3 linked regions of the Stegostoma tigrinum genome follow. The protein of the gene in region 1 interacts with the protein of each later gene in a pairwise test. Links are inferred from orthologs where the notes say so. Each region holds a gene or a part of one and is shown in the gene's direction. Other genes may lie near its edges. The genes, in order: sp4; nrf1; POU domain, class 2, transcription factor 1-like.

The links.
Region 2: the proteins of sp4 (region 1) and nrf1 interact in binary tests that used the Homo sapiens proteins (3 or more experiments, as listed by UniProt). The two-hybrid records come from large-scale screens. The link is inferred for Stegostoma tigrinum from reciprocal best matches to the Homo sapiens genes SP4 and NRF1.
Region 3: the proteins of sp4 (region 1) and POU domain, class 2, transcription factor 1-like interact in binary tests that used the Homo sapiens proteins (3 or more experiments, as listed by UniProt). The two-hybrid records come from large-scale screens. The link is inferred for Stegostoma tigrinum from reciprocal best matches to the Homo sapiens genes SP4 and POU2F1.

Annotation. Positions count from the first base shown.
Region 1 is NC_081355.1:74,777,859-74,788,631, forward strand, and holds the start of sp4 (transcription factor Sp4), read left to right. Parts: upstream 1-5,560; 5' UTR 5,561-5,685; coding exon 5,686-5,692; intron 5,693-5,741; exon of another isoform or gene 5,742-5,808; intron 5,809-6,007; coding exon 6,008-6,090; intron 6,091-6,457; coding exon 6,458-8,108; intron 8,109-10,773. UniProt on the Homo sapiens protein: Binds to GT and GC boxes promoters elements. Probable transcriptional activator.
Region 2 is NC_081378.1:16,033,554-16,044,418, forward strand, and holds the start of nrf1 (nuclear respiratory factor 1), read left to right. Parts: upstream 1-6,417; 5' UTR 6,418-6,498; intron 6,499-10,865. UniProt on the Homo sapiens protein: Transcription factor that activates the expression of the EIF2S1 (EIF2-alpha) gene. Links the transcriptional modulation of key metabolic genes to cellular growth and development.
Region 3 is NC_081365.1:33,891,382-33,902,614, forward strand, and holds the start of POU domain, class 2, transcription factor 1-like, read left to right. Parts: upstream 1-6,439; 5' UTR 6,440-6,805; coding exon 6,806-6,839; intron 6,840-11,233. UniProt on the Homo sapiens protein: Transcription factor that binds to the octamer motif (5'-ATTTGCAT-3') and activates the promoters of the genes for some small nuclear RNAs (snRNA) and of genes such as those for histone H2B and immunoglobulins.

The DNA of each region.
Region 1 (10,773 bases):
TTGACCTGTCCGTCTTCCCTGGACTGACCTATCCCCTCCCTACCTCCCCACCTATACTCTCCTCTCCACCTATCTTCTTTTCTCTCCATCTTCGGTCCGCCTCCCCCTCTCTCCCTATTTATTCCAGAATCCTCACTCCATCCCCCTCTCTGATGAAGGGTCTAGGCCCGAAACATCAGCTTTTGTGCTCCTGAGATGCTGCTGGGCCTGCTGTGTTCATCCAGCCTCACATTTCATTATCTTGGCCCATTGAGTGTGCACTGATCCAATGAAGAGCATCCCACTCAAACCCACATTATCTCTATAACCAGTTTCCATGGTTAATCCACCTAGCCTGCACATGCCAGGACACTAAGGGACAACTTAGCATGGCCCATTCACCTAAACTGCATATCTTTGGACTGTGGGAGGAAAGGGAAACACGTGGCAGAAGTGTATACACACGTGGGGAAAACATGCAAACTCTATACAGACAGTCATCTCAGTCTGGAATTGAACCCAAGTCCCTGACACTGTAATACAGCAGTGCTAACCTCTTGTGCCACCCCGATGTACTTATACATTCGCGTGTAGAGGAACTGTGATAGAAACAGAAAATTTTGATTGTTTAGGAAACAGTAATCTGATGTACAATCACTGCAAGTCAAAATTTTATTTATAAATTCACTTTATTAGACAAGATTGTTTATTGTTCCTTAAATATTCAGCAAAATTCTGGTTGGCAACATCTAATAGTGATGCACTACAGCGATCAATGATGGGGCAATTTATACAAATGACTCAAGTGAAGGACTGATTATTATGATTGCTAAATTTGTCAATGACAAAGTTAGATAGGAAAGGAAGCTGTGAAGAGGAATAATGGAGACTACCACGGGAAAGTAGACAGGATAGGTGAGTGATTTGACACAGATCTGGAAAATAGAGAATAATGTGGGAAAATGTGAAATTGCCCATTTTGGGGAGAATTAAAAACAAGCATACCACCAAAATGGAGAAAGATTGCAGAGTTGAGATGCAGAGAGAACCAGAGTCGTAGGGCATACTTTGTCAAAGGTTAGCATGCAAGTGCAGCAAATGATTAAGAAAGCTAATAGGATTCTTTTGTTTATTCAGAACAGATTGAATACAAAAGATCACAGTCATCCTTCAGGTCATGTGATACTACATCTGGAGTACTGTGTATGATATTGGTCTCCTTATTTAAGACATGATGCAAATGCATTGGAAACAATTATTGATACTTGGGAGTGGGTGGGTTATCTTATAACAAATGGTGTGACAAGCTAGGTTTATGTCAGCTGTTTAGACGGGTGAGAGGTGACTTGATGGAAATATACATGATCCCAGGGGGTCTTGACAGGATGCATGCAGGATGTTTCTTTGTGGTAGAATCTAGAACTGGGGTCATTGTATCAACATAAAAGCGTTGTCCATTTAAAACTGCATTAAGGAGAACTTCTTTATTCAAACTGTGATTGAGAGACTTTAAAATTCTTTTCCCAATAAGGTGGTGGCAGCAGAGTCCTTGAATATTTTTAAAGGCAGAGATGGTTTCTTGTTAAGTGAGGGAGTGAAAGGTTAATGGGGGAAAACGCAGGAATGTGAAATTGAGGCCACCCCAGATCAACCATGATTTTTTAAAATGGTAGAGCAGGCTTGAAGGGCAAAGTTTGTTTGAATCATGCAACATTAGCCACATGCTTAACATCCTGCCATATAAATTCTATTACAGAGCTAAACATTTAGCAAATTGCATCATTCCATTTTTGTCAATTATCTTTTCCAAACAACCTGTTCCGAGATAACACCCACACAGATAACTCTTCCAGCATACATACACATATCTGTGGCAAAAAAAAAGGTCTCAGAGGTCCAAATAATCAGGGGCAACTCAGCTGTTGATTTGCACATTCAAGTTTGTGTGCACATGCTTTTTGAGATAAAGAAACAGCCAAGGACAGTGGTTCAGGAGTCACATAGAAGGGAATCCTGGATGCAGGATCAAAGCATCGGTGTCTTTACTGCTAGATCACCTGGCTGCCAAACAATAGGATTTTTTTTGACGATGTTGGTACAGATCAATTCAAAAATTGTGCTTAGTGCCATTCAAAGAAATGATAAGTGAGTTGGCAATGCACACAAACACAACTATGCAGTGGGGCACATATTCCCTCAATAATCTGCTAGTTTTTGAAAATACTCTTTACTGGTCCAATTCCTACATTTGTCACATATTCTACCCTGATCTATTCATGGGCAGTTACTTAGAGTCATACAGCAATCCGTGTCAAACATAATCCCAAACTAGTCCTACCTGCTTCCTCCTAGCCCATATCCCTCCAAACCTTGCCTATTCATGTACTTATCCAAATGTCTTTTAAAATTGTAACTGTACCTACATCCACCACTTCCTCAGGAAATTCATTCCACATGAACTACCCATCGCCATACCCATGACTTGGCACAGATTACTGGTATAGTATTGGAATACTATTCTGAAATAAATCCATTTCCAATTCCATTCTGAAAGATGCAAATTGTAATAACTGACAGTTTGAAGAATGTTAACAACTCTGGCCCAAAGTTTCATCCCAACTGCAAATCAAGTCCAGCCCAACTCTTGCGATTCCAGAAGTTATTTTCAATAAGAACTTTAGTAATGTGACAACTAATGACGTAATATTAGAAATAATTGAATTCATCGTGTTGCCTATCAGTTTCAGCGTGCAATTTTTTTTTTTTACAGCAAATATTCTAAAACCCAACTGTAGAATTCTAAAAGTAAATGCTGCAGTTATTATCAGTAGTCGACATGCCCTACTGGGGAGGTGCTGTAAAATTACGTATGAATAAACATAATATTCATTGCCGATAGAGGTTGAGTTAAATGTGGAACCTACCTAATTAAAGAAAGCACATTATCATCCAGATAGCCAAAAATACATCTAGATGATTTTTGATACTTATTGCAGTATACAATTTTCTATGCTTTAATCCCTTATAACATGAATTAAAATCAGGACTGTGCAGAAATAAGTATAATAAAACAACATGGTCTAAAACTTAGGCAAAGTACAAGATCATCACAGCCACTGGCAATGAAAAGTGTTTGTATTTTCACACAAATTTATTTGCAAAAGCTCCAACCTTCAAAATGCCCTCCACATCATTGGCTGGCTGTTCAGTATTCAATTAAATGGTATTTTCAAATGTATCCGGGTTTTAGACTTGCAATCATTAAAGATTGGATCAAAACAGCATCCCAGCGGCCCAAACTGATTTCCAGGAGTGTAAACATTTATATTTCCTTCAACCTCAGTCAAAACTGCACCTTCACCTTTCGACCTGAGCATAGTACAAAGTTGCATTCCCCTGACATGTATTAATGCCGTTGTCCCATAGACAGACAGACAGACAGACACACACACACACACACACACACACACACACACACACACACAGAATAGGAAAACACGAGGAAAACATCATTCTCACACATTGTATTGTAAAACCATATTCAGCCAATTTCCCCACACATTATTTAGAAACTTCATTCGTTCATCCTTCTCCTTGCATCATAAAATTGGCTCCAGCACCCCACATATGGATTACAAAAATGACTCCGCATCACAAAGGCATCAAATGAATGCCTGTGCTGGCTCTTTGGCAGAGTTCTCCAACTAATTCTTCCATCTCAGCCTTACCCCATTGTCTGGCATAATTTCATACATTTCACCCTTCAAATATTCATATAACACTTTATGAATGTCACTTTTGAATCTATTCCAAAAACCCTTTCAGTGAATGGATTTCAAATCACAGTAGCTTGCAGTGTAATAAATTATTTCCTCATGTTGCCTTTGGTTCATGTGCCTCAATATTAAATCACCTTAAATCTGTGCCCTCTTGATACCAGGCATTTTGCTACTGGAAACTTTTGTTGCTCTACTTGAACTGTTCATTGTTTTGAATACCTCTACTAAATCATACTGTAAAATTTCAATGTGAAGGAAATCAACTTTAGTTTCTCAAAAGAATGGATTCTTCAATCCCAGTACAATTCTAGAAAATCTGACCCACCTGGTCAGCAAGATCTCAATATCCTTCCCAAAATATGGTGACTAAAATTAAATAAAACACCTTATTTGAAAGGTAAACACTGTCTACAAAGATTTACTTAGTTTAACTTCCTTACTTTAGTACCTATCTCTATTAGCAACACCATGGATTCAAAATGCTTTTCTGAAAAAAAAATTTCAACTATCACTTACAAAGGTACGTGCACCACCAAAGACTTTCTGGTCTTAGCTTTGCTAGTAATGATCACATCCAATGAAGGAGTTAATCAAACTTTAAAACTGTATCTTTAAATACCCCTCTTCCTACCAAAATGTCTAATTTCAAATTACTCTGCAGTGCATTCAATCTGCCTTGTGTTTGAAATAAAGTATTTTCATAGTCTATTACTACCACCTTCTTATCTATTTATTATATCCAGAGCTTCCATCTTCAAACCTAAAAATTATGCCCCATAGATCCAGGTACATCTGATCAACATTGTTCCTAACATCAACACCTGGAGAACAACACATTGATCTACAGTAAAGATCTACATCACCACCAGAGATTTCTGTTCTTTAGCCAATTTAGTACTCACACTACTAATATACCTGTAATCATACAAATTTATATTTTAGAAAGAGGGTTATTGTAATGTTTTTGGAAGTGCGCGCGCGCGCGCACACACACACACACTCATTTAAATAACTCAACCAAGTTAACCAAAGACTATTATCCTTTAGCAAATGAATGTTGACTTTTACTTAGTAGCACATACTTTTCCAATCACTCAATGTTATCCAAAAATATTTTCATGGCTGAACTGTAATTAATGGGTTTATCACACAGATATATTTGCAGCCCTTAGGTATCACCAACACAAAATATAACATCCAGAGCCTCTGCAATTTCATTTGCCTACTTTACAAAACTGCAACCACTCTGCACCTGCAATACAAAATTTGCATCCACTTAGTATCTGCAACACAAAACCTCCTGTACCTGCATTACAAAACAACATGTGGCTTCCAATGATCTAAACCAGGATTTAAATGACTCCTAAAAACTTGAGATTGCCATCACAAGCCTGAATCGGAACAAATACAACCCTGACGCTTTAAGTACAGCGCACGAAAAACGCCCACCCACCAAAAGCACACAAAGTGCCGCCTTTGTTCGCTTCCGCCCAGCCTACCCTGATGTAGGGGGAGAGGGAAGGGCAGAACTAGGGCGGGGAACGCGTCAATACATATTGCACCCATCGCACATGCGTGACAGCCTAACCATAGGCGCTAAGCCCTCGGTCCCAGCCACCCAGCGAGTTTATCAGGAGAGAAACTACAACCCCCGGCATGCTCTGCGCACCGCCCCCGCCATTCCAGTCCCACGGCCACAGATCCAATCAGCTTGTGGATCGAGCTCGGAACGTTAAGTCTCCGGGTTCGTTGGTGCTGTCGCCGGGTTCGAGGTTCCGCCTCCAAGCTCCATTTCCGTCAATCAAGAGGAACCTGATTATTCCGTCCTACGCAAACAGCCATTCGTGGAAAGAAAGGGCCAGCCCTGCCTTGTTCTGCCTACATTTTGTATTGGCCTTATTTTTTTTCCCTTCTTAAGCAATGCAGAATGAGTGGTACGTAACCCTCCCTCTATCCCTCCCTCCTTAAAAAAACAAGAGGGAAAAGGTCAATTTACCTTGGTGACAAGCTTTCTCCTAATTGATCAGCCTGACACCAAGAATCTACAGTAGTGAGTTGTCTTGAGACAACCCTCTTTTGGGTGTTACTTTGTATCCACTGGGTCGGGTTTCAAACCACGTTTCTGTTTTTTCCTCCCCTCCCTTCCTGGGGAATTGATGGGTTGATTGAGACAACTATGTTAAAGTAACGTGCAGTTCACAAAAAATGAACTTATTTTATTACGATTATTTGTATTTTTTTGTTCACAGATCAAAAGGAGGAAAGTATGGCCACCCTAACTGAAGGAGGGAAACCTGGTGAATATTTGCAAATCAAAACATCAGGCTCACAGGTAATGGAAACTCCATTTTCAAATGCAGACTTCTAATATATGCTTGTAATAATTTATTTTTACGTGTTCAGATGAAAATGCTTTCTGTGTTACAACTACTGCTGCTCCTGAACTAATGTTGCTAACCACTTGTCTCTGTTGCATTTGTACGTGAAGCCATTTTTCTCCCGCAGATCTCAGCAGCTACTTCCTGATGAAGCAAACTAGAAATGTACGCTTTTTAAATTTGTTATAACGATCGAAATGCAACTGTTTTGTCGTTAATTGCTCTGTACTTCCTGAGTGAAGCCCCTTTTTTGTGCTAATGTAAATTCACACCCACTCTTTCCTTTCTAAACCCGCCCACTGTGTGTGTCTATGTGGGTAGGACACCCAGCCCTCTCCTCTCGCCCTCCTCGCAGCCACTTGCAGCAAGATCGGATCCCCGGGGCCGGCGGAAGGGGCGGCCGTCGCCGCCTCCACCGCGCTCCAGGGCGGTCAGCTCGTTATCGACCAGGGCTCGGGAGCGGTCCAGCAGCAGCAGCAGCAACAACAACTCGAATTGGTCACCGCTCAGCTGTCGGGAAACGGCTGGCAGATCATCGCCGCCGGGCCCTCAACGACGAAAGAAGGCGCGATTCAGCAGCAAGGGGCGTCGGCGGCCACGACCGGCGGCGAAGGAGAAGGTGGCGACGGCGGCGGAGCCGGCAACAGCAGCAGCAACAACAACGACGGAGGCGGCAATAACGGTACCAGCGGACAGGATGTCCCGGCCGGATCGCCCAACCGCATCCGGCCTATCGTGTCGGCGGCCGGTCAGTACAACGTGGTGCCGGTGCAGAGCCTCCCGAACACGGCCATGGTGGTGAGCGCGGGCTCCGGGGCGGTGGTGGCGGCCTCCTCCTCCTCGTCGTCGTCGTCTACCTCGTCTTCCGGCCTCCAGTACCAGGTGATCCCGGCGGCGGGGGCCGAGGGGCAGCAGCAGCAGTCGATCCAGATCGTGTCGGCGGGGAGCCTGCTGGCCCCGCCGAGCCGGAGTTCCCCTCAGACCGGGCCCCTGGCTAACACCGTGCCCATCCAGATCCGAGCGGCCGGTACCGGCAGCGGCGGCGGTGGCCTGTCCATCCCTTTGCAGTTACAGGGTGTTCACATTTCCGGAGCTCAGGCTCAGATGGTCGCCACGCTGCCCATTAATCTGGGAGGCGGCGTGACTTTGGCCGTGCCCATCAACAACATGGCGGCGGCCGGAGGAGGATCCATTCAGTTCGTCCAACCTTCCGGGGATGGCGGCCTCTCCAACGGCGGAGCTCAGGCCTTGTCCACGCCCATCTCCGGCGGAGCCTCGGCGGTGAACAACACGCCCGAATCTCCACCTCCCCAGGCTCCACCGGCCTCTTCTACAGCCAGCACCGCCTCCCCGCTGCCCGGAGGCGCCGCCGCCTCCTTGCTCCAGTCCTCGGACGCCGTCTTCAGCGAGCCGGTGGGACCCGAAGAGGAGCCGCAGGCTGCCGCCGAAGGGGAGGGGGACGCCGCTCAGCCTAACGGCCTGCAGAACCTTCCAGAAGCGGGTCAGCAGCTCCAACTGCCGTCCCCCCTCCAACAGCAGCAGATCGTCCAGGCGCAGATCCCGCAGCAACAGGCCGTCGCCACCATCCAAGGCCAGGCCCTGCAGGCTGTGCAGCCCCAGACCCTTCAGCTGTCCACGCTGCAGAATCCCACTCAGGTCATCATTAGGGCACCGAGCATCACACCGTCTGGGCAGATAAACTGGCAAACCATACAGCTGCAGAACATCCAGAACCTTTCAAATGTACAGATCCAGAACGCTCAACAACTGACTGTGACCCCGGTGTCTTCAAGTAACTCTGGTGAAACAGCGATTGCCCAAATTACCCCTGTAACTGTTACTGGTGGTACCATTAACCTAAGTGCTGCGCAGCTTGCTTCTGTTCCTAACCTTCAAACAGTCAACATTGGCAGCTTGAGTTCAGGAGGACTTCAGGTGCAAGGAATACCAGTGGCCATCGCCAATCTAACAGGTATGACCATACTTGTCAAATATTTTACATTTAAGATTACAGATATGTTTAAATTACTTAAGGTTGGCATGGTTTATATCAAGTATTTTTTAAAAACCAAAATATCTACAAATTAATTGTCAGATATGTTTGCACGTTGTATAAACCAAACTTGGAAGCTTTTGGCTTACAGAAAGAGGAGTGTGGTGGCTGTTGGTAGTTTTGTATGGTGTAGGGGAATTGTGATTTCAAAAAGTGACCTAGTTTGGACAGCTACAATTGTATGTGCAGTTCACATTGAAATATAGGATTAGTTTATTCCTGAAATACTAAAGTTGAATTTCTGTGAAGTCTTTGCTCAGAATTTACATTTTGCAGAAAATCTTTTCTATAATAGATGTTTGCAGAGAGTGTGTGTCAACCTTCGGGGAAGTAAGTTCCAAATAACCTGATCTCTCTTGTTTCTTGCGTAGTGTTATTTTGTTCATTTCAGATTTATACTTTTTAGGCATTTAATTTCACTCTACCTGGTTAAAAAGGAATTGCCTTATCAAAATATGCAGCAAAACCTTTTTTATGGGAACTGGGCTTGCTATACATTTCCTTCTGTTTATATTAAGCCACTGATATGATGCTCTACAATACAACCTATACAAAATTATTTTCCTGACACTTGCACCTTTTTAGAGTTGAATCTTTCTACATCAGTAATATTTTTATTCCTGTGAGCATGGCTGTTTGGATTGTACTTCAGAGATAGCTAGAACTGCAGATGCTGGAGCTGGAGGAAAACAGCAGACCAGGCAGCATCAGAGGAGCAGGAAAGTTGACAGTTTGGGTCAGGACTGAAGAAACGTCCTGACCCGAAATGTCAACTTTTCTGCTGCCTGGCCTGCTGTGTTGCTGCGGCTCTACACTGCATTGTACTTGTTTCTTGGGTAATGGTTTACCAAAATATTGTCAGTGCTAAGCCACAATATTTAGGATCAAGCTATGAATCTAGTGGTGGTTTAAGATTCAGCATCCTGATAATTTGTACCTTTTTGTATAATCTTTTGATAGTAAGAGATATATTACCAAAAATGGCATTTTTAAAGTCTTCTGAGGATCAAAATCTCCAACTAAAAATAATTTTTAAAGGAAGCTTTATAATGGCTTAAGAAAATACTATTTTTAAACTCAAAAACAAAAACGATGCTGGAAAAGCTCAGCAGATCTGGTAGCATCTGTGAAGGAGAGAACAGTTAATGATTTGGGTCAGGTGACCCTTCCATTATTATTTTAATGTTCATCCTTTTTGGTTTTTAAAAGACAAAACTTTTTCAACTTTATCAAAAGGTTTTTGCTTTTAGACAGTAACTGGTTTGATTACTTGAACAGTATCAACTTAAAGGATGTTTGAACAAAAACTCTCATTTTCTGATAGCTTTGTATTTTATGTGTAAGAGGGATTGAACTTTCAACAAACGTTGGATCATGGGTTTGAGAAATCCTGACTTGACTATCACTTTTTTCTTGTCCTTGATCTTGTAGATATTTTTAATGAACCTGTTCAGACATACGATGACACACCTCTGGTGCAGATGGAACTTGAACCCAGGCTTTTTGGCCCAGTGGTAGACACAGCAGCACTGCTCCACAAGAGCCCCCAACCTGCAGCTTGTCTTATGTTTTGAGTTAGCCTAAAATCTTAAGTGGTGTTGTTTTGCTGACATAAATCAAACTTTAATACTATTTCTTCCTGACTCTTCTGCAAATCATTAAGGAGCAAGTCTGTAAGGCAGTTTTCAACTCAATGATTTTTGATAAACAATTCACGACAATTAAATTAATTATTATCCACTTGCTGGATGGGCTACACTGTAAGATTAAATGTTCTAAATCCACATTCTTTAATAGTTAGATTTATTATTCAGTTTTCAAATAGTATATAAATCAGGCTAGAGATTATGTATTAAGTTTGAGTTGATGCTTAGAAGTGTGAGGCAGGTTGGTTCAAATTTAATGTGTGAAAAATGTTTCATATTTCATTAATATGCAGATGTCTTAGAAGATGAATTAAGCTTTTTAAAACTTAAATCACTCAAACAAAATTGTCATACTATTTAACCTTTTGGATGAATGTAGGTTGTAGTATTTCTTCGTTCACTCTGGATTCCACTGAAAGCATTAGGGCTTGGAATAAAGTGAATGGCTTTGTTTCAATGAGCCTTGAACTGACAAAGTTAGTTGACTCTCAAGCCATATGTTTTTAAACAGTTTTATTTATAGCTGTATTCTTTTTGGAGATATTTTCAGCTTTGCAAATATTTGTAGTCAGGTTCCTCAGTTTTATTAAACCTGATTTATGTTCTGTGTACTCAAAGTGGCAATTTCCTCTAAAAGTGCAAGGGAGTGCAAGCATTGCCGACTGTGGCACCAGATCTTACAAGCTGGAAAGACCTCAAGTTTAATTAAAATGTTAATACATTGCATATAATGTGACCACCCTAGTGCTAAATATAATACAAAATTACAGCTGTCAATTATGAATATACTGGTTTCAGGTTCTGTAGAATGCCACATACAAATCAGATATCACTTTACATTCTTCTGTGTCTCTTTCTGGCCCGAATTCTTAATTAAAACATGAGGTTTTGTGCTTAAGAATAACTACCGTTACAGTGATAGTAATGCATTGGAGATA
Region 2 (10,865 bases), on another chromosome or scaffold:
GTTCTCCCTGTATTCCACATGGTCTAACCTTGCTAACCAGTCTAGTATGGGGAACGTTATTGAACACCTTCCTTATTCCTTTCAATGCATTCACCTCCTTCCTATGAAGTGCTGCTAAAAACTGTACAAAATACTTTAGCTGAGGTCTAAGAAGTGTCTTGTAAAAGTTAAGCATAATCTCCTTGTTCTTAGAGTCATGCTGTATGCACTGCCCACCTGTCTTGCCACTTTCAATGATCTATGCAGTGGTCTTTCTGCTCTTGCACTTTCTTAGCTGTTGTATCCCCGGGTTGTCTGACCATACTGTTTGAACTAAACTGCATTACTTCACTATTCTCCACACTGAGCCTGATCTGCAATTTGTCTTCCTACTCCACCAACTTGTCTATGTCCTTTTGGAATCCTACACTGTCCTCACATTTCATAATGCTTCCAAGTTTTGTATCATATGCAATCTCAAGATTATCCCCTGCACACCAAGATCTAGAATATTAAATATGAGGAAAAACAAAACTCGACAGTTCATCCACTTCACCAACACCTTCCACTCCAACCTTCAGTTCACCTGGGCCATCTCCAGCATATCCCTCACCTTCCTGGACCTCTCAGTCTCAATTTGAGGCAACCAGCTTGTAACTAATGTCCATTTCAAGCCCACCGACTCCCACAGCTACCTAGAATACACCTCCTCCCACCTACCCTCCTGCAAAAATTCCATCCCCTATTCCCAATTCCTCCGCCTCCGCCACATCTGCTCCCACGATGAGGCATTCCACTCCCGCACATCCCAGATGTCCAAGTTCTTCAAGGACCGCAACTTTCCCCCCACAGTGGTCGAGAACGACCTTGACCGCGTCTCCCGCATTTCCCGCAACACATCCCTCACACCCCGCCCCCGCCACAACCACCCAAAGAGGATCCTCCTCGTTCTCACACACCACCCCACCAACCTCCAGATACAACGCATCATCCTCCGACACTTCCGCCATCTACAATCCAACCCCACCACCCAAGACATTTTTCCATCCCCACCCTTGTCTGCTTTCCGGAGAGACCACTCTCTCCGTGACTCCCTTGTTCGCTCCACACTGCCCTCCAACCCCACCACACCTGGCACCTTCCACTGCAACCACAGGAAGTGCTACACTTGCCCCCACACCTCCTCCCTCACCCCTATCCCAGGCCCCAAGATGACTTTCCATATTAAGCAGAGGTTCACCTGCACATCTACCAATGTGGTATACTGTATCCATTGTACCCGGTGTGGCTTCCTCTACACTGGGGAAACCAAGCGGAGGCTTGGGGACCGCTTTGCAGAACACGTCCGCTCAGTTTGCAACATACAACTGCACCTCCCAGTCGCGAACCATTTCAACTCCCCCTCCAATTCTTTAGATGACATGTCCATCATGGGCCTCCTGCAGTGCCACAATGATGCCACCTGAAGGTTGCACGAACAGCAACTCATATTCCGCTTGGGAACCTGCAGCCCAATGGTATCAATGTGGGCTTCACCAGCTTCAAAATCTCCCCTTCCCCCACTGCATCCGAAAACCAGCCTAGTTCATCCCCTCCCCCCACTGCACCACACAACCAGCCCAGCTCTTCCCCTCCCCCCCCCCACTGCATCCCAAAACCAGCCCAGCCTGTCTCTGCCTCCCTGACCTGTTCTTCCTCTCACCCATCTCTTCCTCCCACCCCAAGCCGCACCTCCATTTCCTACCTACTAACCTCATCCCACCTCCTTGACCTGTCCGTCTTCCCTGGACTGACCCCTCCCCTCCCTACCTCTCCACCTATACTCTCCTCTCCACCTATCTTCTTTTCTCTCCACCTTCGGTCCGCCTCCCCCTCTCTCCCTATTTATTCCAGAACCCTCACTCCATCCCCCTCTCTGATGAAGGGTCTGGGCCCGAAACGTCAGCTTTTGTGCTCCTGAGATGCTGCTTGGCCTGCTGTGTTCATCCAGCTTCACACTTTATTAACTCCAAATATTGACCCCTGGAGAACTCCACGACAATTCTTCCCCCAGCGTTAAAAATATCCATTGATCATTATTCCCTATTTCCTAGTACTCAACCAGTTTTGTCATCACATTGCTACTGTCCTTTTTATTTCATGAGCTATAACTTTTCTCACAGGTCTATTGCGTCATGTTGTATCATTGTATCAAACACTTTTTGGAAGTTCATATACACCACATCAACAGTGGTACCCTCACTGACCTCTCGGTTACCTGTACAGAAAACTCCAGTATGTCAGTCAAACAAGGGTTCTCCTTCAGAAAACCATACTGCCTGTTCCTAAACAACCCACATTTTCTTCATGACTTCTGTTTTCCATGATTGAAATTAAACTGACTGATCTGTGATTGCTGGCTTTATCCTTACAACTGTTTTTGAACAACATAATGTTTGTAATTGTCCAGTCCTCTGCCATCTCTTCTGAAATTAGGAAACACAGACAGATTATTGCCAATGACTCTGCAATTTCCACTCTCACTTCCTTCAATATCCTTAAATGCATCTCTTTCTTTCCTGGTGCCTTCCGACTTTAAGTATCAATAGCTTATCCAATACTTCTTCATTAATTTAGAATTGTTCCAGTTACAGAGCTTCTTCCTCTGTCATGTTAACCCAGGTAGTATCAAACTCTTTGTTAAAGATGGAAGCAAAGTATTCATTTAACACCTTAGACATGTCTCTTACCTTTGTATAACCTCCTTTTTTGTCCTTAATTGTCCCTAGTCCTCTTTACCTTTTATTCAAATTATTGATGTGTCCGTGAAAATTTCGGGATTCCACTTTATGTTGGCTGTCAGTCTTTTATCAAATTTTCCTTTCTGCTTCTCTCACATTCTTTCTCACCCTCTGACCGTTCTGTATTCTTCTTGGCCCTCAATTGTATTTTCTACCTGACACGTGTCATCCTTGTGCAAATTCGTGAAATGTTCCTTTTTTTTGAGGTAGCACAGTGGCTCAATGGTTAGCTGCTCACTGCTGCCTCGGAGTGCTAGGAACCCAGATTCAATTGGGTGGGTGTCTGTGTGAAGTTTGCACATTCTCCCCGTGCCTGCTTGGGTTTCCTCTGGGTGCTCCAGTTTCCTCCCACAGTCCAAAGATGTGCAGGCTAGGTGGATGGCCAAGCTAAATTTCCTAGTGTTCAGGGATGTGTAGATTAGGTGGGTTATACGCAGGTGGGTCTGAGCGTCAGTGTGGACTTGATGGACTGAAGGGCTGTTTCCACACTGTAGGGATTCTATGATTATGATCATGACCTGCTACAAACCTTAGTTCCACGATTGTGTGTGCAGGAGCAGTTGTGATCAGTGACAAGATTTTGTTTTGGCTTTTCAACCAGGATCAGCTGTGTGTTTTCCAGAGTACTCTGCACAGTGACAATATCTTGACTGGTTCCTAGGCGAGTGGCTACAGTTTTGTGTTGAGGTAGTACAGAAGAAACAGCCAGTCTGTGACGGAGAAATCATCCTACTTTCTCTCCATTCTGATGGAGAAATAAAGGAAAGTCCTGAGCAGCTGGCTACTCTCTCTGCAAATTCCCATCTTGAAAAGGAAAGAAGAAACACCTTCAGAGACACTGAATGGATGAAGCCTAAACCGGTGAATGAAAAGATTGAAAAATGATGTGTCTCCAACCTTATTTATTACAATCCGTGCATGCACACTAACTGATTTAGACTTCATTACTTTTTTCCCTTCACCTACGAGCTGACTATTGTCTTAGCATTTTGTATACTCTGGTATTCCTCTCTAATATTCTCTCTTCATTCCCACACACCTGCTAAGTTAGTTTAAAGTCCTCCCAATGTCGTGTCCATGTACTCATCTGACAATGCTAGCCAACTCATTGAAATATCATTCAAGAATGCTATAAATATCTATGCTGCAGCACTATTTCATGACAATGTAGATTCACCACCAGTGTGTGAATCAGTATTAATTGAACTTATGAACTCAGCAGCTGTGCAGTTGAATTCAGTTTCAATGACACCATGTACTACCAAATAGATGGTGTTGCCACAGGATCTGCACTAGGGTCCACAGCTCACAAATATCTTTGTTGGATTCCATGAAAAATGGTTCTTTGATGGAATGATGTTTACCCTTCGACACTTTGCATATTTCTGAAATAATACGCTGCTATATTAGAATCCACAGCAGTGTGTAAGAATTTCTTTACATGTCTGAATTGGGTCTGTCTGCATGGACTTGGAACAAAAGCAAAATAGTGTAGTTGCTGGAAATCTTAAACAGTGACAGAGTGATGGAAATAATCAGCAGATCTGACAGCATCTGTGGAGAGAGAGAAACAGATTTAATGTTTAGGGTACCCTATACCAGAACAGACAAAAAAAGAGAGATGTAATAAGTAATCATGTAATAGATCTTACCGCATTGTTCTTCTTCCCCTTCCTCAATTATATTTATTATAGTTGTATCTTTCCTCAGCTCTAATTGCCATTGAGCTGAAACATTAATTCTGTCCATGAATGCTGAGTGTTTCCAGCATTTTCTGCAATTACACTAACTTAACTTGGTTTAGACAAGTGGTCTGTTATGAAACAAATCAGTTCTGAAGAAGAGAGATAACAAGGTGTAGAGCTGGATGAACACAGCAGGCAGAGCAGCATCAGAGGAGCAGGAAGGCTTACATTTTGGGCCTAGGCCTGGAACGTCAGCTTCCTGCTCATCTGATGCTGCTCAGCCTGCTGTGTTCATCCAACTCTACACCTTGTTATCTCAGATTCTCCAGTATCTGCAGTTCCTAATAGTTCTGAAGAAGGGTCACTGGACCCGAAACACTGACTCTACATTCTCTCCTCAGATGCTACCAGACCAACTGAGCTATTTCTGTTTTAGTTTCAAACAGACAGCAGCTGTTGTTTCTCATAAAAGGATTAAGAATAAGAGGGCACAGGTACAAGGTAGTTTGCAGAAGAAAGTTTGCGACAAAAGTCTTTTCACACGGCGTGTAGTTAGGCTCTGGAGCACACGCATGGAAATCTGGTGGGGCAGGTTTATCTGAGTACGTAACCACAGGAACGAACTAATAAGGAAAAATTGTAAAACTTGAAAATGAATGTACTGGTCTTACTTGACCTCCCTTTTGTAGCAGAAAAGACACGTCAGGCCACTTTGTCTCATTCACATGTTCCAAGAGGGCACTGGACACTTATGGGGAAAAGGAGGGAGAATGACACTAAGTCACAAGACTCATTCGAGAGCTAGTGCAGGCAAGTCATACTGAATGTGCTTCTTCTGCACCATACAATTTTATGATTTGCAATATTTTTAATCAACTTGTTCAGACAACGTCAGCTAGGTAGAACTTGAATCCAAAGCTGTTGGCCCAGCAGTAGGGACACTAAAACTGCACCACAACAGCCTTCAATTATGTGATTCTAGATATTTTTACTCAACCTGTACTAACATGCTATGTTATGACACAGACACATTCTGACACACCTTGGAAGAGATGGGATTTGAACCCAGGCTTCCTAGCCAAGACATAAGTATACTACCACTGCACAAGAGCCTCTATTTGGAGCAAGGTTCCCTGACTGACTTTTAGATGGTTTTAATAAATCTGCTCAGGCACATGTCTGGAACAAGTGGAATGTGAACCTGGACCTCCTGGTTCAGAGGTAGGAATACTGCCATGCCACAGGGACCCCTTTAACTTTAGTGAATCTCACGTTACAACCACCACAAGCTTGTCACACTTGCTGAAATAAATAAAGCACCTGTAAATGTCTTTTAAAATATATATTTGCTATATCACCATATTCAGGGATGCTATTAGATACCTCTGGTCCAGGTGGGACTTAAACCTGGGTCTCCAGGCTCAGAAGTAGGACCATTACCACAAAGGCCCCTTCAAATCTGGTGATTCTAACGTTAGAAGCACCCTGAGCTTGTCACATTTTCGGAAAGGCAGCAGTAAATGCTCTTGTTCAAGGATGTTATTACACACCTCTTGACTAGGTAGGATTTAAACTTGGGTCTCCTGGCTCAGAGGTAAGGACATTACCAAATAAAAAGCGAAAGAACTGCGGATGCTGGTAGTCACTAACAGAAACAAAAAAAATGCTGGAAAAGCTTAGCAGGCCTGGCAGCAACTGTACAGAGAAATCAGTTAACGTTTCTGGTCCAGTGACCCTTCTTCAGAACTGTTAAGGGCATTACTACTTTGCCACTAAAGCTCCCCAAAAACTTTGGGGATTCGGATGACTTTGGTTTGCAAGCCCTCCAATTCCATGGTACCGAGCATGCGCAGCAACCGTGGCAGGTGGCTGGACGTCAAGCTTTCGCGTCGTCACGTGTGACGTACATGGGCGGTGCGGTGACCGTTTACGTCACTGGTCGGTGCGTGCGTTGCTTGGGGCGAGCAGGGTGGGGGTTGGGAGGGGCCAGGTTGGAGCTGGCAGCGCAGGCACAGAGAGACCGAGTTCCAGGCCATCGGCGCAGCCGCTCTGAGGTTAGTGCTCACCGCGCATTCTCCAAATTTCAGCCCTGGCGCAGTCGCAAATCGGACCCCAAAAGCTGCCCGGTCGCTGAAACGGGTGTTTTACTTCATAAAAGAGCGAGAAAGAGTCCTGAGAGTCGCTTTTAGACGGCGGGGAAGAGCTTAAATCTCAAACTAAGAGGGCCTAGGCCGCAGTCGGCCTGCCTGTTGGCAGGGCTGGATTTTGGCGGGACTAAGGGAGGAGGAAGAAAGGAGTGCGTGCGAGTGGGAGGGGGATGCATAAACTCTTGAGCATTGATCTGGCTGGAGAGAGGAGCAGATGCTTAATCCTAAAGCCTGGGCCCTGTCCGCAGTGGGGCCGTTGTAAATGTTTTATTTTGAAAAAAAGAATTAACACCTTGGGGTTTATTCCTGCAACTCTTAAAATATTGTTACTCAAAATGCGTCCCCGATCGAGAGTTCAAGCAACCTGCTCTAACCCAAAAGGTTTTTAGTAATCATTAGAGTCTAATGTATCATTAACAATCCTGTAGATTGATGTGCAGTTCTACAAAATGGAAGGATTATCCAGTTGAGAATGTTTCATTTTATAACTTCAAACAAATGAGCCCTGACCTTGCAAAGATTGCAGTTTGATGCGAGTTTTGTTTATTTATTGGTGTTGTAGCTGTAAGATTTGTTATCATTTGTACATTTTAAAATATTTTACTTCCTTGTTCCTAATTGTGATTTGCTTGAAATGAGTTTTTATTGAAATCATTGTGTTTAGGTTAATTTCTATATTTCAAACAAATCTTGAATACTTCAAACAATATTTCAGTTCTTAAAAGAAAATGCTTCTCTTCAGTCAGTTGTTTTTTGTTCAATCTTTTTTAAATGGTTTAAGGATGCCCTAACTCAGATTCTTCTTCTTGCTTGTACTATCCTTCCCCTTTTGTAGAGGTTTGGAAATTCTTAAATTGTTGGGTTGTAAGACCAGAAAAACTAGGAGCTGCCCATCAAGTCTGTCCTGCCACTCAGTCATGGATGATAAGTTTCTCAACCCCATTCTCCTGCTTTCTCCCTAATCTTGATCCCCTTGACAATCAAGAACCTATCTGTCTCTGTCTTAAATATACTCAATGACCTGGTCTGTGCAGCCTACTGTAGCAGTGAATTCCATAGATTCACCACTCTCTGGCTGAAGAAGTTTCTCCTCATCTACATTCCAAAAGGTTTTCCCTTGACTCTAAGGCTGTGCCATCCTGTCCCAGTCTTTCCTACCAATGGAAACATCTTCTTAATATCCACTGTCCAGGCTATTCAGTATTCTGTAAATTTCAATTAGATCTCCCCCCTCATCTTTCTAAATTCCATTGAGTATGATCCCAGAGTACTCCAATGTTCCTCATATGTTGAGCTTTTCATTCCTGGGATCATTCTTGTGAACCTTCTCTGAACCTGGTCCAAGGTCTGAACATCTTTCCTGAGGTATGGGGCCCAACACTGCGCACAACACTCCAAATATGGCCTGACCAGAACCTTACAGAGCCTCAGAAGTACATCCCTCTTTTATATTCAAATCTTCTCAAAATAAATGCCAAAGTTGCATTTGCTTTCCTAACTACTGACTCCATCTGCAAGTTTACCTTGACAGAATCCTGGATTAGAATTCCCAAGTCTCTTTGCACTTCAGACTTCTGAATTTTCTCAACATTTAGAAAATTGTCTGTGCTTGTATTCTTCTTACCAAAGTGCATGACCTCACACTTTCCCACGTTGTACTCCATCTGCCACTTCTTTGCCCTTTCTCCTAACCTGTCCAAATCCTTCTGCAACCTCCCCATATCCTCAATACTACATGTCTCTCTACCGATCTTTGTATCATCTGCAAACTTAGCCAGAATGCCCTCAGTTGTGCAATTAGAATGATTTCTGGCAGTCTTACTGGAATAATGCTGAATAAAAATATAATTAAAAGATACTGAAAGTATCGAAAATCTTTTTTTTAAAAAGACTGGATAGTCTATCTGCATTACTTGATTAAAAACTAACTGGAGGGTTCCACTCCCCCCCCCTCGCCCCCTGGCCCCGAGTATCTAAAGCAAGGGGTTTTTTTTAAATAAAGCATTGTAGACACTCAACCTGTATTTATAAAACAACGTAGGCCTTGGCTACAAGAGTACCGGGGAAGGTGTGGAGAATCTGCTAGTATAAACTACATTGAAAACGTTGATTCACTTAGCTGATAAAGCTTCAGGCTCAGATGGTCTACATGGTAGAAAACTTGAGTGAAATTAATGATGAAATAGCAGAGGTGTTAATTATAATCTGCTAACTTTCTTTGGAAGTACTGATTACAAATTACACTTGTGAAGTAAAATTATGGAGTTAACCTCCAGACAACAGTGGGAAAGCTGCTAAAGCACACAAAAAAAACACACTTTGTTAATGTTAAAGGCTAATAAAGGATAGTCAGCATGAAACTCTAATTAACTGATGGGATTTTCTAGGAATTTCATTGGAAAAGTGTTAAGTTAAAAGATCCGTGGTATTGAAGATTACATAGGCATAGATGGAGGAGTGACTGTATGACTTTTTTAAAAAAAAAGATGATTTTTAGATTACCAAGAGTTAACTCATGATTTGCTTAAGGGATCTGTGTTACACTTGCTTGGTGTTTATTAGTACTTGTTTCAGAAAGATCGTAGTTTTGCGATGAAGAACTAATTTAGACTACCTTCAATATAGTACTGAGAGAATATCAAAATTGCTACATTTTGGACAAGATATTAAACTCAAGTCGTATGTGTTCAATTGGATATAGAATATGCTGTGACGCCATAGGAGAAATAGTACAGGGAGTTCTTCTGGTGTAGGGGACAACTTTCATTTCTTAACAGTAAACAATTGTCTGCAGACACCCTTCCATCATAAAATCAGAAATGAAAATGTTTATTGATTGTCCAAAGATCATTTATTTACAACTCTTTGTAATAAAGTAGTCTGCTTGCTAGCAGCAAAATCTGGGCAATTCTAGCCTTGAAGTGGTACGTGGTAAACAATTGTAGTGCCATAGAGATTCTGCAAAAGGATATAGACAGGTAAAGCAAGTGTGCAAAAACTTGGCAGATGGACTAAAATGTGGGAAAATGTGAAGTTATATTGGATTCAGAATTGGTTGGCTGACAGGAGGCAGAGAGTGGTTGTAGATGGTAAGTATTCTGCCTGGAGGTCAGTGCTGACTGGTGTCCCGCGGGGCTCTGTTCTTGGGCCTCTGCTGTTTGTAGTTTTTATAAATGACTTGGATGAGGAGGTTGAGGGGTGGGTTAGTATGTTTGCTGATGACACAAAGTTTGGAGGTGCCTTTGATAGTATCGAGGGCTATTGCAGGCTTCAGTGAGACATTGACAATGCAGAGCTGGGCTGAGAAATGGCAGATGGAGTTCAACCTGGATAAATGCGAAGTAATGCATTTTGGAAGGTCGAACTTAAATGCTGAATATAGGATTAAAGGCAGGATTCTCGGCACTGTGGAGGAACAGCGGGGTCTTGGTTTTCAAGTGCATAGCTCTCTCAAAGTTGCCACCCAGGTGGATAAGGTTGTTAAGAAAGCATATGGTGTTTTGGCTTTCATTAACAGGGGGATCGAGTTTAAGAGCCGCGAGGTTATGCTGCAGCTCTACAAAACCCTGGTGAGACCACACTTGGAATATTGTGTCCAGTTCTGGTCGCCCTATTATAGGAAAGATGTGGAGGTTTAGGAGAGGGTGCAAAGGAGGTTTACCAGGATGCTGCCTGGACTGGAGGGCTTGTCTTACGAAGAGAGGTTGACTGAGCTCGGACTTTTCTCTCTGGAGAGGAGGAGGAAGAGAGATTACCTGATCGAGGTGTACAGGGTAATGAGAGGCATGGATAGAGTCGATGGCCAGAGACTTTTCCACAGGGCAGGATTGACTGCCACGAGGGGTCATAGTTTTAAGGTGTTAGGAGGAAGGTATAAAGGAGACGTCAGAGGGAGGTTCTTCACCTACAGAGTTGTGAGCGCATGGAATAGTTAACCAGTGGTAGTCGTGGAAGCAGTCATTAGTGACATTTAAGCGACTGCTGGACATGCACATGGACAGCAGTGAATTGAGGGGAATGTAGGTTAGATTATTTTATGTTTGGATTAGGATTATTCCACGGCACAACATTGTGGGCCGAAGGGCCTGCACTGTGCTGTACTTTTCTATGTTCTATGTACTATATATACTTTGGTAGAAGAATGGGGGAGCTAAATATTATTTAAAGGGGAAAGATTGTTCACGGCTGTAGAACAGAGGGATTTGGGTGCCCTTGTGCATGGATCACAAAAATGCATTCGAGTTCAACAGAGAAGGCAAATGGAATGTGTGCGG
Region 3 (11,233 bases), on another chromosome or scaffold:
GGAGATACACTGACTACAATCGAATGGGTAACAGGGAAACCAAACAATACTGTCTTACTCAGCTGTACAATCCAGGACAGACTTTGTGATAAGGTAATGTAGTTGTCTGTGTCAAAGTGGTACAGGAACAAAAACATGTTTCAATGTGCTTTGCAACCAATTGAGAACTTTTTAACTGTTGTCGCTGTGTTATAGGCATGAAACTTGACAAATATTTCTGGAGATAGTCCTTTGGGGCTGTTCTACCATTTACTAAGATCATGGCTGATCCTCAAACTCAACTCCAGTTTTTTCCGCAACACATCCCTCACACCCCACCCCCGCCACAACCGCCCCCAGAGGATCCCCCTCGTTCTCACATACCACCTCACCAACCTCCGGATACAACGCATCATCCTCCGACACTTCCGCCATCTACAATCCGACCCCACCACCCAAGGCATTTTTCCATCCCCACCCTTGTCTGCCTTCCGGAGAGACCACTCTCTCCGCGACTCCCTTGTCCGCTCCACACTCCCCTCCAACCCCACCACACCCAGCACCTTCCCCTGCAAGCGCAGGAAGTGCTACACTTGCCCCCACACCTCCTCCCTCACCCCTATCCCAGGCCCCAAGATGATTTTCCACATCAAGCAGATGTTCATCTGCACATCTGCCATGTGGTATATTGTATCCATTGTACCCGGTGTGGCTTCCTCTACATTGGGGAAACCAAGCGGAGGCTTGGGGACCACTTTGCAGAACACCTCCACTCGGTTCGCAACAAACGACTGCACCTCCCAGTCGCGAACCATTTTAACTCCCCCTCCCATTCCTCAGAACACATGTCCATTATGGGCCTCCTGCAGTGCCACAATGATGCCACCCGAAGGTTGCAAGAACAGCAACTCATATTCCGCTTGGGAACCCTGCAGCCCAATGGTATCAATATGGACTTCACCAGCTTCAAAATCTCCCCTTCCCCCAACGCATCCCAAAACCAGCCCAGTTCTTCCAGTCCCCCCACTACATCACAAAACCAGCCCAGCCTGTCTCTGCTTCCCTAACCTGTTCTTCTTCTGACCCATCCCTTCCTCCCACCTCAGGCCGCACCTCCATTTCCTACCTACCACCTCATCCTGCCTCCTTGACCTGTCCGTCTTCCCTGGACTGACCTATCCCCTCCCTACCTCCTCACCTATACTGTCCTCTCTACCTATCTTCTTTTCTCTCCATCTTCGGTCCGCCTCCCCTTCTCTCCCTATTTATTCCAGAACCCTCACCCCCATCCCCCTCTCTGATGATGGGTCTAGGCCCGGAACATCAGCTTTTGTGCTCCTGAGATGCTGCTTGGCCTGCTGTGTTCATCCAGCTCCACACTTTGTTATCCACTTTTTGACCCAGTTTTTCCACCTGATCCACACATCCCTTCATGTTCTTCGAGTTCAAAAATCTGTTAACCTCTGTCTTAATCAACCCTTTGGATTGTGTTCTTTTAAGTGAAGCAGTTTCTCGTCATCTCAGTTCAAAACAGCAATCTCCATATCCTGAGACACTGCTGCCCAAACAGGCAAAGAAACCTCTCAGCATCGAATACAAAACAAAGAATTTCAGACACGAGAAACCTGAAGCCAAAAACAGAAATTGTTAGAGAAAACTCAGCAGGTCTGGCTGCATTAGGGGCATTTAAACAGTCCTTGGATACGCATGTGGGTGATCCTGGGATCGTGTAGGGAGAGGGGCTTAGATTAGTTCACAGGTCGGCGCAACATCGAGGGCCAAAGGGCCGGTTCTGTGCTGTATTGTTCTCTGTTCTATCTGTGGAGAGAAAGCCGAGTTAACATTCTGAGCTCAATCACACTCTGTCTTACAATCTACTTTGTTAAACGTCTCAGAATATTTCAAATAGATAATGCCATATGCTCTAAATTAAAAAAAAGTCGATTCAATCTACCCTTATAGGACCAGACTCTCAACCCAGAGTTGTACCTCTGCTAAGCCAAGTATGTCCTTTCTTAGGTATAGAGATTAAACTGTATACTAGTCTTCCATTCCAGCCCTTTTTCAATTAAGGTTTCAATTCCAGAAAAACTTCAAGGCTTTTTTACATGTACGTAAGGAATAAGAGAATGACCAGGGAAAGGGTAGGGCCAATCAAGGATTGTAAAGGAAATTTGTGCACAGAGCCTAAAGAGATAGTAAAGGTCCTCAATGAATAATTTTCTGCAGTATTGACAACTGAGAAGGACTAGTTGTAGAAGGGGACAGTGTGAAACAGGCTGGTAGGCTAGAGGAAGTCGATGTTAGTAAGGAAAATGTATTAGGGATTTTGAGGAATGTGAAGTCAGATAAATCCCCCAGGCCTGATGGGATTTACCTAAGGATTCTATGAGAAGGGAGGGAAGAGATTGCAGGGCCTTTGGCAATGATCTTTTTGTCCTCACTGTCCACAGGTATAGGGCTGGAAGATTAGAGAGGCAAACGTCATTCCCTTGTTCAAAAAAGGGAATAGGGATAACACCAGAAATTACAAGCCAGTTAGTCTTACGTCAGTGGTGGGCAAATTATTGGAAAGGGCTCTAAGAGATGGGATTTATGATCACTTGGATAGGCATAGTTTGATTTGTGATAGTCAGCATGGATTTGTGAAGGGTAGATCATGCCTCGCAAATCTTATTGAATTTTTTGAAGAGGTGACCAAATACTTGGATGAAGGTACAGCAGTGGATGTGGTACACATGGATTTAAGTAAGGCATTTGATAAGGTTCCCCACGGTAGGCTCATGCAGAAAGTAAGGAGGCATAGGATAAGGGGAAATGTGGCAGATTGGATTCAGAATTGGCTGACCCTGAGAAGTCAAAGAGTGGCAGTGGACAGAAAATATTCAACATGGTGCTCAGTTACGAGTGGTGTACCACAAGGGTCTGTTCTGGGTTCTCTTCTATTTGTGATTTTTGGAAATGATTTGGATGTAAGAGTGGAAGGGTGGATTAGTAAGTTTGTGGACAATACAAGGTGGGCCGAGGGCTGTTCTCGGTTACAAAGGGACATCGATAGGATGCAGAGCTGGGCTGAGAAGTGACAGATGGAGTTTAACCCTGAAAAGTGTGAGGTGATTCGTTTTGGAAGGAAAATCTTCAAAACAGAATACAGTGTTAATGGAAAGATTCTTGTCAGTGTGGAGGAGTAGAGGGATCTTGGGATTCAAGTCCACACTTCCCCAAAAGCTGCCACCCAGGTAGACAGAGTTGTTAAGCAGGCCTATGGTGTGTTAGCTTTCATTAATAGAGGGATCGAGTTCAAGAGCCGTGAAATTATGCTCCAGCTATACAAAACCCTGGTTCGGCTACATCTGGAGTATTGCATCCAGTTCTCGTTGCCTCATTACAGGAAAGATGTGAGAGCGTTGGAAAAGGTGCAGCGGAAATTTACCAGGATGTTGCCTGGAATGGAGGGAAGGTCTTACAAGGAAAGGTTGAGAGAGCTCGGGCTTTTCTCTTTAGAATGATGAAGGATGAGAGGTGACTTGATAGAGGTGTACAAAATAATCACAGATATAGATAGAGAGTGGGCAGCCAGAGACTTTTTTCTAGGGTGGAGGTAGCTATTACGAGTGGGCATAGTTTTAAAGTGAGTGGAGGTAGACATAGGGGAGACGTCAGCGGTAGGTTCTTTACTCAGGGAGTGGAAGGGGCATGGAATGCATTGCCGGAGACAGTAATGGAGTCAGCCTCATTAGGGGCATTTAAGCAGCTATTAGAAAGGCATATGGATGATAGTATAAGGTAGGGGTCGAGGTTAGATAGACCTTAGGTTCGGGGTAAAAGTTTGGAACAACATCATGGGCCAAAGGGCCTGTACTGTTCTCTGTTCTAAGAACAACAGTATAATTTGCCTTCATAATTGCTTGCTAGATCTGAATGTTATATTTCAGCATGTCTTCTACAAGGGCAACTCAAAGTTCTGGACATCAGCATTTAATTGCTTCATACCACACTATTTTTATTCATTCAAGGAATGTGAGCATTGCTCAAGAGGCCAGCATTTGTTGTTTGTCCCTAATTGCTGTGCTCTCCCTGCTAGAGGGAGTAAGCTTCATATTTTCCTACATTCTGAGCCATCTGCTACCTCTTTCCCACTCGCTTATCCTATTGATATCCCTCTGCAGACTCTTTGCATCTTCTTCATTGGTTACTTTCCCACACAGCTTTGTCTTAACAATCTTGGATCATATGCCTGTTCCCTGCATTCAGGACATTAACATAGTTTGTAAGTAGCTGAGATACCAGCAGTGATTCTTGCAACACTCCGTGAAAAGAAAGCCTGCCAACCTGAAAATTATGAAAAAAACTGAAAGAACTGCAGATGCTGTGAATCAGGAATAAAAACAAAGTTGCTGGAAAACCTGAAAATTATGTTTATTTCTGCTTCTTGTTTCCTGTCCTTTAAACAACCATCTATCCATGTTCATAAATTACATTCAACTTCAACTGCCCTTGACTGACAAGTTAGTATTTCACATTATCAAATGTTCTTTTTTGAAAATCACAATTCTCTTTTTGTATTGTAGGGAAATTCCAGCTGCAAGTTTGCATATGGACAACACTTAGAAAATGTCAGATAATGTATTTGAATGAAACTTTGGGTGTTGCATCAATATTAGGATCTTCTCCAAATTCCTGAAAGAGCATGCAAAGGCTCAGTTTAAGAAAGGATCAACTCTGGTTCAGTTGGTAGTACTCTTGCCCCTTAGCCAGGAAACTGTGGGTTCAACACCCACTCACTTTGGAGCTGAACACAAAAATCAAAAAAGTTGACACTCCAGTATGGGACTGATGAGGTATTGCACAATTGAAGATACTGTCAACCAAATGAAACATTAAACTGAGGCCCTATCTGTGCTCACATGGACATAAGAGCTCTCTTAATATTATTTTTCAAAGAAAAGCAGGGAATTTTGTTTCCAATGACCCAATCAATGCATTAACTAATAAAAAAATGCATTAAAAAATCTGGTCATCATCACAATGCTGTTTATGGGACCCTGTCAGTGGACAAAAATTCACTGCTGCATTTCATAAATCACAACAGCTGGTAAATTTCAGAAAAGTACTTAACTGGCTGTAAAACACTTTGAAATGTTTGGTGGTCATGAAAAGCACTATATAAATGCAAGTCTTGGCAATGTAGCAATCTCCCAGCATCAAATAAAAGTATCAGCCAAGGTTGTGTGCAAAACCTTGGAGTGGGACTTAAATACATGATCATCTTTTTCAGATGTGACAATGCCCATCATTAATATATGCTGACACTTTAAAGGTCAAGATGATCCAGAAGACATCATATATTCAGTTAATGTAGTCACTTCAGTTAGGGTTGAGATTGTGTTTCTGGTTTCCAGAGGATTGAAATAATCACACCTTGATTCAAAATGATGGAGCTTCATTAAATGTATTTTTTTAAAAACAGTTCTCCACGCTGCTGCATTGTTATATGGCTACTAACTGCAGTGCATGTGACATTCTGGATATTCATTTTCATAACAATTAATACTTCACGCTATGAATAATATTTTACAAATATTTGTAACCAGGCTCCAACACATTAAAAGAACCTAAGATTTTAGCTAGTTGTCGTTCAGATTTAATGTAGTGGGGATGAAGGTACGTTTGTAAAAGGCACGGGGAAAATGTAAACTTAGCTACTAATACTACGGAGACATTTCCAAGGTAACAGGTGAGTTGCTCAAACTCACCGAAAGTATAAACTGCATGAATTATTCTAAATCTCATTAAAGCTTAATTTACATATATAAACTGCCAAAGTGACGGCCACCAGCAACAGCATAAAAATTAAGATTACAGGAGGCATTCAGCTTTACATCTCTCGACCCTATTTTCATTTGGGCGGTCAAGTCCCAAATGCGCAGTTTGCATTCTCCCATTGTCCTAAAATAACAAGCAGTTGGGAGCCTTTTTCAGCGTTTAGATTCACTGGAGGTGTGATTTCATTTTCTCTTTTGACAGGTGTTAACAGTTACAAAAAAAAACAGGATCCCTTGCCCTCACATGGGCAATATTGTTTTTGCTTAAAAGGTAGAAATTCTTTTTAAAAAAAGGACCGCAAACGCATCAGATGTGCTAAAATCGGCGATCCCAGAACCATTTACGTATATGTTAAAAAAACGCCCCTCTACCACTCGTAATTTTCCGTCCATTTCCGTCTCCGTACGCGCCAAGAAGGAAAGCGATTACCGACCATTTTAATAAACAGCGGAATACAATACCAGAGGAGGAATGAATACAGTTGAAGGGGCATCCATGGGGCACAGTTCAACAGCGGAAATGGTGGGATAGGGTGGGGTAGGAGGAGGGGAAGGGGGCAGAAAGGGATACATTCGGTAATCTTCGGAACACAAGACAAGAGAAAAAGAAAATTAGGAGACCGCTTTTCACGCTGGGATCGGTCTTAAAAATCGACACCACACATATACAAACACAGAAACACACGCACAAATCTATCCCACCATTATAACTGGGGAGATATACCGTTAAAAAAAATCCGGTCGTTAATTTCCGTTCATTTCCGCCGAAGAGGACCGAAGCGGCGGGGGCGACGACAAAGACGCGCCTTTCGAAAAATAAATAAATAAATAAAGTTTTCAATGCGATCGGACATGATGTTTTTTTTAAAGAAACGCGAGTGCGAGTGTTGTTGTTTGTTAGTGAGTTGTAAATAGTTTGCGGATTGCTGATGATATTTTGATTGAAGCGCGGGGCCCCCCAGCACGCGGGGAATTCCGGGTAAAGTGAATTGATATTCAAAATGGCGGATGGAGCGTCCAAAGATGAAAAGCCAGGTAATGGCTCTAATTTTACATATTCATATTTCCATTTAGCATAATTTATTTTGCCTTATTACTGTATTTGATTGCGGAGCCAGCAAAAAAGAAAACTTTAATATACTACTTTCTCGTATAAGCACAGTCGGATCAGTCGTTTCGACGAAGGGCATTCCACCGAGAAAATTTTAAAAAAATATTGAAAAAGGAAGGGAAGAAAAAAATAGAACAAATAAAGAGAAAGCGAAAGGCAGGGGGGAGGATAATTTTGACTAAAAATTATGCAAAGTAAGGCGCGGCGTTTTACATTTTCTACTGTTTTTATCGATGCACAAACGTTCTATGCTAATTTGGGATCAAATATTAGCCCCCGGTTTATTCAAGCGGGATAACCTAATAGAAAATATTACGGAGGGTGCGGCAAATGCGGAACGGCTGAGAAAAGTGAACATATTTAAAAAATCCTTATTTCGTTTGAACGGGATCAAAATCTGAATGTAATAAAGGCTGAAGAGGGTTTGTTTTTAAATCGCAGGAACGCCCCTCATGTTTAGGTTAATAGATTTAATAGCTTGACGTGACGGTGGTGTGTAATTTTTTTTATTATTGAGTTGGATGATCATCTTTACTTTCCCCAGTCATGAGCTGCAGTGAGCTTAGATGACGGAGAATGCAAGCAGGAATGCTTATTAAAATCTGCCCCGAGGTTTTAATGAGCAATCTAGGCCTTGACTGATTTGTTTCGCTTTATTTTTTTTTAATCGCTCTTGGCATTAGATTACTTAACGTAACATCCGCATTTACTGAAATAGAATGGCAACTAATTGCAAAGGCGTATTCATAATTCTATTTTGATATACTCCTGGATGTTTATATTTATAAACCAACATATCACACTGAATACAGTAGATAGTTTGGTTGCTAGTTTATTTAGTAAAATAATTTACTTAAAATCATTTCACTGGCGTTAATGGTTATTGTGGACTTCTGATCGTAAGAATGAAATTGGTCAACAACACCACTTACAAGTGTACATTTTTTTTATCTTGAGACAATTCCCAAAAATACATTGTCCAGTGTTCTAACCAGTGTTTTATGATTTTTAAATTATGAAACACCTATAGTTGCAGTAAAGTTATTAATCAGTGGTGTTTTGTGCAACTTTGTATTTATTGCATTTAACTCCACAGGTGATATTAATCAAGCATTAATTTGGATTCACTGCTGCAACTGCTCTGTGACTTGGTTAGCAAAAAGTATATTGCCATGGGAAAAAAGATTTTCCCAGGTAAATTTTTATGCAGCTGAATGTCTTTTATAAACTATATTCTGAAATTTAATTTTTATTTTGAGAAAACTTATTCTGGGTTTGATTGTAAATTAATACTCCTGATAAGTCTGTAAAGCTAAAAGCAGTATGTCAAATGTTCTTTGTAGCTACATTATTAGAGTTGACATTTTCATAGTTTACAGGAAATTATTTTCTTTCACAAACTTCTTTTAAAATCTGTGTTGTCTAGACTCAGATTATACTCATGGAATTCAGAAGAATGAGGGGAGATCTTATAGAAACATATAAGACTGTGAAAAGAACAGATAAAGTGGAAGCAGGGAGATTGTTTCTGTTAACAGGTGAAACTAGGACTACAGGGCATCTCCTCAAAATAAAGAGAAGCAGGTGTAGGACTGAGGTCAGGAGAACTTTTTCACTCAAAGGGTTGTGAATCTGTGGAATTCCCTGTCCAGTGAAGTGGTTGAAGCTACCTCGCTCAATATTTTTAAGGCAAGGCTGGATAAATTTTTGAACAGTAAAGGAATTAAGGGTTATGGTGAGTGGGCAGATAAATGGAGCTGAGTCTCAGAAAGATCAGCCATGATCTTATTAAATGGCAGGGCAGGCTTGAGGGGCCAGATGGCTTACTGCTACTCCTAGTTCTTATGTTCTTTCTGTGGGTATTGCTGGGCTCTGAGTTGTTTTGAGAGTCTGTTGGAAAATATATGATTCAACTATGTTGAAGTTTTTTTTCTGTCTTTGGCTAAATCCACTATTAACATGTAGTTGAGATAACAAGGTATAAGAGCTGGATGAACATAGCAGGCCAAGCAGCATCAATGGAACAGGAAGGCTTATGTTTCAGGCCTAGACCCTTTTCTGAAGAAGGGTCTAGGCCCGAAACATCAGCATTCCTGCTCCTCTGCTGCTTGGCCTGCTGTGTTCATCCAGCTCTGCACCATGTTATTTCAGATTCTCCAGCATCTGCAGTTTCTACTGTCTCATTAACGTGTAGCTGTCGTCTTTTTAATGGAACTCTGGTTCAAAGGCCAAAATCAAGAGCAAGACCAGAATAAAATTACTAAGGTCAGTTGGAGAATGAAGCAAACCTAAAATTTACAAATTGAGGATTATGCTTACCGTCTGTAATTATCTCCTGTTATTTTTTTACCACATTATCCTGAGGAAGTGGTGTATTTATCATTTAGTTCTGTACCTGCTGAATTGCTTGCTACTCATTTTAAAAGTTTTGTGTAACCCTTGTAGTTATAGTAGGATTCCTTCACTTACGACTGGTTCCACAAATTATCACTTTTATTTAATTATGTTTCATATATAATATTATTTCAACCTTTGGGTGGCTGATCTATTACTTTAACCACTACACTGAATATGTCTGAGTTTGGGCCTTAACAGTTGTATAATCGTGGGAATGAACATTCCAGTGATACGGTATTGTGTGTCAAATAATAGATGGGTTAGTGAGTTTCATGGAGAGGTTTATGGTACGGTGGGTAGCATTTCTGTGTCTGAGCTCGTGGATCCAGCTTTGAATCTCCTTCTAGACCATAAGGAGTTGCTCTTAACCAGTTTTTATACACTGGTAAAATCCAAGACTGTGTGCTGAGGCACACACTAACGCTTGAGGTAATCACTGCAGAGGTATAGAGATTATTGGCTAAGGCTTTCCAGCCACAATGTATCAAGGTGCCGGAAACTGTAGAAATGTTGGGCTGTATGCCTTACAAAAACCTATATTTTAAAAGAAGGATATTGATAATGTTTTGAGGCACATTAGAATGTAATGGTATATAAAGGAAAATTTTGTCTCTTTTGTACTTCCTGTAATTTCTAATTTGCTGTTTTCACCCTCTGACTGTATACCTGACATGGAGTGCAATTTGTAAATTTGAACATTGATTACAAATTGTGTTGAGTAGAGCATGCAGAATGGAATAAGTATGAATATTATTGCAGAAATTGTAAGATTCAAATTGAAATTTTTCTGTAATCTGTCTTACAAATGCATTCAAATTTTTGTTTTCTTGGAAATAAAAATCTAATCCAGAACTTGATGTCTATGAAAGGTCTATATAAAATGTGGCCAAACCGGTTAAATGGTAGTTCTGACCGCTCTGTGTGTATGTCACTGTCTCTCTCTCTCTCTCTCTCTCTCTCTCTCTCTCTCTCTCTCTCTCTCTCTCTCTCTCTCTCTCGCGTGTACACACACACACACACACACACACACACACACACACACACACCACTTCCACTGTATCTTTGTCAATGGCAGACGCTAAGGACAGAGACAGCAAGAGAACTGCAGATGCCGGAGTCCGACACAACACGGTGTGGAGCTTGACCACACACCAGGCAGCATCAGAGGAGCAGGAAAGTTAATGTTTTGGGTTAGGACCCTTCTTCAGAAATTGGTGGTGATGAAAGAACTTGAGTCTCTACCATCTTCTGCCTTTTAGCTTCAGGCTACAGGGCTACAGCATGTGTATAAAAGTGCATAATGCCACTGTAGATTGGACTCTGAGTGAAATATTACCCAGTAGTGAGATTTGATTTTTCTGAGGTACAATGAATGTGTACAACTGTGTTTGGAGGTTTTAGAACGAATGCAGGAAAGTTTGGAAGAGCAATGAATATTGATAAAATGGAGAGGAAACAAAGTTGCTACAAGGAGAGATGAAGGCAGTGGGATTTTACTTTGCCCCGCTTAGCTTGATTATCGGAATTGATAAAGTTATATGACTGGAAGGAGAGAGTCTATCCAACATAGTTCATTTAAATTTTACTCTTTGACATATGCATGACTTGAATCGGTAACTTAATTTCATTCTCTGCAACTTGTACTCATTGAGTTATGGTGCCGTTTTTCACAAGTGTAAGGATGAGGATTGTGGGGTGAACTTATTGAGGTGTATAAAATCATGTAGAACATAGATAGGATGAATGTCTGTTATCTTTTTTTTCCAGGGGTGGGGAATTGAAAACTCGAGGGATAGGTTTAAGGTGAGGGGGAAAGATTTAAGAGGGACCTGAGGGCCAACTTCATGCAGAGAGTGGTGCACATATGGAATGGACTGCCAGAGAAAGTAGTTGAGGCAGAAACAATAGCAACATTTAAAAA